Lepisosteus oculatus: one gene and its partner. The protein of the gene in region 2 binds, or shares a complex with, the protein of the main gene of each other region. Links are inferred from orthologs where the notes say so. Each region holds a gene or a part of one and is shown on either strand. Other genes may lie near its edges.

Region 1 (3,924 bases), on a different chromosome or scaffold from region 2:
ATATGTATACTTAAATGTACAGAGCAAACTGCATTGAATTGCATTTTAAAATCAGGAACGAGGCACTTCTTTAGTCAAAGCGTTGTGGGAGTATGGAACCGGTTACTCAGCCTTATTGTTGAGACCGATACCCTGATGTCTTCCAAGAAATAGCTGGATGAGATCCTTGGACCAGTTAACTACTAACCACCAAATGGGCTGGATGACTGAATGATCTCTTGATTGTAACTTGGAAAGCACTGAGACTACAGCATCATGTTAATCTGGCTGTCACGATAAGCAATGTTATCATTTATAAAAAAAAAACATTTGGGGCGAATGAACATACTCTTATTTTCCCTACCATACTTTCACCCCTGGGTTCTGGTAGGAGGTGTCGCAGTATCAGAACACTGACCAATAGATTCAAAAACGGTTTCTTCCCCCAAGCTGTCCGCATCATAAACAGCTCAAATTAGCACCTGCATTTCAAGCTACTGCACTGTTTTTGCACTATGTTCTGTCTTGGCTGTATTATAACGTCTATTGTCTAGTTGATTGTCCATGTCTGTTTGTCATTTGTGCCTATTTTTTTTTTATTTCTCTACTGTTACTGGGTACATCTGAACAAGTAAGCATTCCAATACTTGATTCAAGATTCTTGAATCTTGAAATATATTCTATTCAGAATCAACATGGAGGCTATCTTAAAAGTATAGGTGAACAGACAACATACTCGCATACATTTTATCTTTTCATCCAAGGTCCCACGCAGAAACACAGACAGTCCCTCCACCCATTCTTTTATGCTGATGTAACTGTCGTTGTCCTTGTCAAAGGCACGAAAGACTAAATTCAAAATTAAAAACAATTTTCACATTGTAAGCGAAACATGCTGAACACCATAGAAAATGTTGACTTTGACCTATCTAATTCTTTCTAAAAGTAACCCATCTGTTAAAATGTTAATACAGAATGTTAAGCCATTTTTGGAAAAAAAAAAAACAGACTCTCATACACCCATCTACAGACGATGCAGATATTGAAAACCTTAAAGATCATTTTGTACTGTTGCCTGAGAAATGGGCTCTCAACAGAGATTTTCTTCCTTAGTACATGTATGTCATCTACGAATTTATTTTTACAATAAAAAAAAAAAAACAAACCACAAGAGCATCCTCTTTTGCTAATAACTATTGGAGGGGGGAAAAAAAGGATGGTTTTAAAAAATATTCTTACGGTAAACCTCTTTCATGTGTGCGACCAGCAGCTGGAAGCTCACCTCTGTCCATAATCATGTCGTCCGTCATTCCAAATGTGTTGTGCAGCACGTTCCTGAAGCGTCCCCGGTCCAGGCCACTTCCTGCCCGCCTGTCGCTCTGCTCCCCCAGCAGCGCGTTGAACAGCGTGATCAAACTTTCTGTCTCGTTCCTGTCGACTGGGCGCAGCATGTTGGAAGACAAGACAGATCGGCTCTAGCCCATGATGATGGATTTGTATAGTAATACAGCTTATTGTACATGATGAAAATAGAAGCATCCCCATATCAGACAAAATTCAATGCGAGTTATTGTGCTGTTTAGACAGTGATATATTACAAAACATTGCAGAAGCTTGAAAGAAAAAGGAAAATTGAGAAGGGATGATGATTTGAACTCCTACTTCTATGTATGAGTTATTTGAAGACTTCACATTGGTAATTCCCAATGGAATTTATCACTTTGGTAAATAAGAATTAGCTGAAGAAAAAAATTCTGATGGACCCACTTTTCAATCAATCACTAATTAATTTGTAAAGTTCCACTGAAGGCATTATTATAAGCAGGAAATAATCCATCCATCCTTTTCTAACCACTATTTGAGGGCAGTGGCTCTGTGGCTAAGGATCTGTGCCTGTGGCTGGAAGGTTGCCAGTTCAAATCCTGTGGCTGGCAGAGGAATCCTACTCTGTTGCTCAGGGGGAAAGGCCCTTAACCCCAACTGCTCCAGGGTTGCTTTATAAATGGCTGACCCTGCGCTCTGACCCCAAGCTTCTCTCTCCCCGCCTGTGTGTCTCATGGAGAGCAAGTTGGGGTATATGAAAAGACAAATTCCAAATACAAGAAATTGTATATTGGTAATAAAGTGATCTTATCTTATTTCCAATTCAGGGTCACGGGAGAGCCGGAGCCTATTGTTGCAAGCAACGGGCACAAGGCAGGCGACGCCCTGGTCAGGACGCCAGTCCATCGCAAGGCATGCACACACACACACACTAGGGTAAGTTTTCCCAGAAGCCAATTCACTTACCAGTATGTCTTTGGACTGTGGAAGGAAACCCACAAAAACACACTAACTCCTCGAAAATAGCACCCCAGCTCCGGCATTGAACCTGCGACATAACACTAACCACTGTGCCACCCTCATCAGGGAATAATTACAGTTGTTATACGGCCGACGCTTTTAACCTTTTAATCTGTATTTGTATCAGTTTTAACAGTTCGGTATTTTTAGTGGGGAAATTGAACTTCAATTTGAAGTGAGGATCAACAGCCGTGTCTCGTCTGGCACTGGAACCCACGATCGATCTTGTTAATTACAAGTTCAAACGCCTGACTTCTGGTCCCATGATGTAAAGTACACATGAAGTTTGAGTCGAATAAGACGTTATGAATCATTCGTGTTCTCCTCTTACATATAAAAACATACAAGCTCCGCTGGTTGAGCTTCTGGGAAAGTTTATCTAGACTAACTCTGAGGTTAATTAACTTTCTCCATCGCCGTTCACGTTTAAAATGGATACTGCAAACTGGCTATTCAACAGAAAATCTAAGGCATATTTATGAAAGTCGCTCTTCTTGTCATAATCAAAGAGCACGTTACTCACGGAAACAAGGTGCAATTCACGAAATAGTATCTATTTCTTTCAATATCAAAGAGATACACAGCACTTCCTTAGAGCTGAGTTCAATGGCACACGAACAAGGTACTGCGTGTACTGTACTTACAGTGTTTCACTTGTCTAGACAGGGATTCTGCAAGTTTTTGTATATTTTTTCTGTTCATCGCCGACATTTCCGACATTTTCGCGATTTTTTTCCCCCGATTTCGACGTCTTTAACAAGAAAAGTAGGACGGTAGAAAACACAGACCTGGCGTCAACCCTAGTCCTGTTGGGACGGCTGTTGCTATGGAAACGCCAATCCGCTTTGAGAACGAGCCGTCGGTGCGCAGCGGAGCTCCTGCCTGTGACGTCACTTCATACAGGGATTGCAAGACTGAAAAAAGCACTTTTCAATGGCATTTCAAAGGAGAGAAACATCCTTCTCGACTCTAGGTCAGTTATTTCAATTTTCTTTTAAAACGTCGTACGGACTTTGCAATTGGTATCAACCTGTTTCCAGTTCTTAATTTCAGAACCTCCCTCATTCAGGTGCATTATCAGTCCTATCAGTCTCCGCTCGTTATTAATGGATCACCCGTTGAGAGCTTTTTAGACAGAAATAAGAGACACATTCGTTAGTAGAAAGCTGAGGAGGAACTGTCTAAAGTTTTTTTGTGTTGAAGTTATTAGCAAAATACTCAAGGGTAGTTTGAAACCTATAAGTGCAGAAAAGTTCAAATAAATTAGGACCCGAAATGAAGAGCCCAGTTTGAACGAGAAACAGCAGGTACATTAATAGCCCAGGACCAAGACGGAGGCTCACTGCTCTAGGTACTGCATCGCGAGGATAGATGGCTTAATTAACACAAGTGCTGCTAATCACTTCGGTAAATAAGAATTAGCTGGAGAAAAAAATCCTGATGGACCCACTTTTCAACCAATCACTCTGATTTGCAAGTAACAGCGAATGATATGATACAGTGGCTTGGAGAGAGGAAGGAGCGCTGTTTCTTGCATTCTTGTACTGTAGTCTACAGCAAACAGAGTATTACTCCCCCTTGTGGGCATAATCATTTACTGCT
Region 2 (3,924 bases):
CTGGTCACCATACAGGAATTCCCTCACCTTCCCTGTCTTATTCCTCAGGGTGGCACTCTCTGCAATGCGGTTCCGGAAGGCATCCTTTATCACATGCTCATCTCCCTGCAGAACCAGACAGCACATTGCAGAAAGTTAGAAACTGTGTTATATCTCCTCTTCCATCATCCCCTCAATCCAGTATTCCCAATTACTGTTTCACCGGGTTCTCAGCTTCACATGGGCCTTGTTCAGAAATGCAGCTCTCTGCCAAATTCACTGAAAAATTATCTTTTTAACTGCCCTTCAAAAAATGGACCATGAGCTAGGAAACCACCCTATGCATCGCTGTCATTTGAACCTGACTTAAACCAAGTTCACAAAATAAAACTTCCTTTAAAACAATTAATTAAAGGGGGGTTGATGAACCCCAAGCTGGAACTTGAGAAGTAGATGTTTTGGAAGTATAAACTTGGTCTTCCAAAGAGATCCCAGCCTAGACTCCGACTGTCCCTGGTCTTCCAAGGCCCCAGTGTGCAAAGTTTATTAGCCCCAAGTCTAGATTTGTGAAGCACAGAACCAGAATGCGGATGTAAAATGATCCAATCTCTATTCCTGCCTCACATGAACTAGTCGGCAGGACCATTGTAGCACAGACACATGATGTCTGTTTGTGCTGCGAGGCAAGAGGCCAATGGCTTCTTATCCTAAACCATCTTACTGCTAAGGCTTCAGCCAACTTCTTATGTAGCCTCTTGTTCTCCTGACGGAGCTGCAGGATGGCTTCCTTGTTCTTCTTGATGGTCCACTGGGAGCTCTCATAGTAAGCGCTTCTGTCCCCCTCTGCGAGTCAGAAATGTCATACGTTAGACTCTCCACTCTTCCTCAATATCAAAACCATAAAAAAATCTACTGTAACACATACTGTTGCAGTAAATCACCACCAGGCTCTTTTGTGCTTTTATTAGAGCTATGCAGAATGGTTTTCCCCGCACAACGTGCTTTAAAAATGCAGTGTAGCTAGCAGACGTGTGGCAGCTTAGACACCGAAGTAGCTGGTATGAGAACAGAAACCACCTGTGTGGTTTTGGATGTTTCCACCATCCCCACCCCCACGGATGAACACGCATTGTACAGGCAATGCTGGAGAACAGAAAACAGTCAGCACCGATAAGATGCTGAGAAATAATGACTCTTCTGGGGTACAGAGAAATCGCGGAACGCTGATATTGTCAGGAGAGCGCAGATATTACAATAACCCGCCGGCATCTCGAACGCACAGGTGGTTGATTCATAATAAGATGTGCAAGGCGTCCTTCCCCAGAGCTGTCAAGTTGGTGATGCCCCCACTCCCTCCCATCATACTATGATCTCTCCTAACTTCTTCCTGTACCCACAAGGACTGTACTCCAACACCACTACACAACTATAGTTGTAATATTTATTAATCAAAAGTATTTTTGCACTGTTCCCCGAATTACCTTGCACTGTTTTTGTCCTGTTATATTTTCTCTGTTTGCGGATTTTGCACAGTTTTGATTACGTTATGGTAGTACACGTTACTGTTATTGTTATTGTGTTAGTCTATTGTCTTATCTTTTGTCCTGTTTATATACTGCACCTGACCGACTAATGAGAAACACTTTTCATTATACTATGCACCTGTGTAAGTATAATGACAATAAAGTTGAATTGAATTGAGTCTGGTGCGCAAATCTCCCACTTTCTGCGCGGCCCCCACCCAGCGTTAGCTGCAATGTTTTAGTTTAGTCATGCCCTATAAACTTTGAAGGCTCGTCCTTCCAAGCGACTGATATGGTCCACGTTTTATCATGACAAGTTCTTGCCAACTCTAACACTATCCTTACATAATCTACTATTTATGTACTACTTACTGTACAGTACGACTGTACAGTAAAAGTCGAGATAAAGCGCCTACAAAATCAACTTTAACTCACACCTTTGTTAAATTACGCGAAAGTTGCCGATTTTAAGTTAACACGTTTCTTTAAAATTGTATTTTATGCACCGTGGTGCGTACAATTAATTTAAACCAGACGAACTCAAGTTTCTAGCTAAGGGACTTTAAGGGACGCGTTTAACTGCTTCACTCAGATGACAGGCTAATATCAGTCCAACGTTAATGAAAAGAAATACCTACCAAGAAGCTGAATTTTCCTTTGGAGCTCCGATATCTGCTCGTGTAGAGGAGGCTTAATTGCGTCAGTATTAAACGAGAGAGGCATGTTTACCAGGTGCGCCTTGAATGTGAAAAAGATAATGTGAATAACCCTATGCCTGACGCCGATAACGTCGACCTAGCACCCAGAGCTTTCGGGTGCCACCGTTATTTCAGTGTGCTGCGCTGGCGCCGAGTTTCGGTAAAATGAATTTTTCCTCTTGTAAGGACTCGGGCCTTCTTCACACAGCTACCTAGGCTGGAGCTGTGAAACACTAGGAGCTTGTCTGGGTGCCCAGCAACAGCCATCCATCTCCATGGCCACAGTGGGAGATAAACAAATCACGTTGCCAGGAAAAAGTTCCACCGCAATGCATGCTGGGCGTTGTAGTTGAAGACGATCATGGCCGTGCACACTACTATCTCCTACACCGAGCATCTTTCAAAATACACCTCATTGCACTGCCATGATTCGCATCGCTGGTTCTTACTATCAGTGTTTCTAAGTCTCCTTACGTTACAACAGCTACCTATCTTGGAGAACTTCGTAATTGGAGCAGTTTCTTCCCGTTTGCATAACATTTCAACAACCTGCAGCTGGATTCCCTGCTCCCTGCGTTCAAAAGATTTAAACTTTAAATGTAACGTCATTAAAAGTTACAATACCCTTTAATGGATATTGTATCCTGCTGGATACAGACATTTTGACCAGCTGTGGGAGGGGCTAGGAACATGTGTTTTTTTATCCAATTAAAACATACGAGGGAGTCATGTGTTAAGGACTTAGGTCATGTGATTTCATCTGAGCATTCTGGGATAGACTTGTCACTCCTTTCTGAATCTGTTGTGATGGAAGATGGAGAAGGCTTCACTGACCATATGGTGAGTACCTGTATTTATTTTATACATAACACAAATTTTGGGGGGACATTTTTATAAGCTATTCATTTTTAAGCATGATATGACATGTTAATATGAAAAAAAAATGTGAATTATATTTGTACTGTTCTCCAAATCTGACATTAAATATCTGTATCCCCTGGGATACGTTGCCTAAATGGGGGTGTAAAACAGTCATTAATAGCACTATGTGTGCCTGTTCTTTTAAAGGCCATAAGTATTAGATATTAAATAACAACAACTGAAATGCTTTCATCACATAAAGGTGCTAACTATTACTATTTACTAACTATTTCAGGGAATTTCCACAAAGATATTTTATAGTAGGCCTAGGAGAGGGATTCAGCCACCTGTTGGCTCTTCAGATTCAGAGCAAGGGACAAGTGAGGAAGATGATGAAGCCTATGTAGATGCAGAAGGCCGAAGAGAAGATAGCAGCATTAGCAGTGAGGATAGCAGTAGTGACTGTAGCTGTAATGTTGAGGCAGCAGAAGGACACCTGTCCATACAAATTAAGAAATGTAGGTGATGTAAACCATTAAATAGGATATTGTTGATAAAGTAACACTATATACTGTGTGTTCATGTGGGTGTGTGCACTTACTGTACATGAATGTATGCATGTGGACTAGAACCCAGACAAAAATATTATGTCCAAGACTGCTAACTGACCATGAGAATGTGTACATGGAAGTAATACATGTTATTTATAGAATGTATAGTGAGCAAAAAAGGGGAGTGTGAGTGGTTTCCAATAAACCATTATATATTTCATTCCTTTCTAGGTGGAAAAAAAAAACGATTTTGAACACCAGTCAGCTGCAACACCAACATATTTCATGGCACAAGATGGAATCTTTTCTCCA

Evidence for each region.
Region 1: odad3 (region 2) and clxn share a complex: the UniProt entries of both Homo sapiens proteins name them as parts of the outer dynein arm-docking complex. The link is inferred for Lepisosteus oculatus from reciprocal best matches to the Homo sapiens genes ODAD3 and CLXN.

The regions. Positions count from the first base shown.
Region 1 is NC_090705.1:5,005,848-5,009,771, reverse strand, and holds the start of clxn (calaxin), read right to left. Parts: upstream 3,105-3,924; 5' UTR 3,043-3,104; coding exon 2,967-3,042; intron 1,418-2,966; coding exon 1,262-1,417; intron 829-1,261; coding exon 724-828; intron 1-723. UniProt on the Homo sapiens protein: Component of the outer dynein arm-docking complex (ODA-DC) that mediates outer dynein arms (ODA) binding onto the doublet microtubule. Seems to regulate the assembly of both ODAs and their axonemal docking complex onto ciliary microtubules.
Region 2 is NC_090706.1:17,752,503-17,756,426, forward strand, and holds the start of odad3 (coiled-coil domain-containing protein 151), read right to left. Parts: upstream 2,766-3,924; 5' UTR 2,226-2,765; coding exon 2,141-2,225; intron 823-2,140; coding exon 701-822; intron 106-700; coding exon 28-105; intron 1-27. UniProt on the Homo sapiens protein: Component of the outer dynein arm-docking complex (ODA-DC) that mediates outer dynein arms (ODA) binding onto the doublet microtubule. Involved in mediating assembly of both ODAs and their axonemal docking complex onto ciliary microtubules.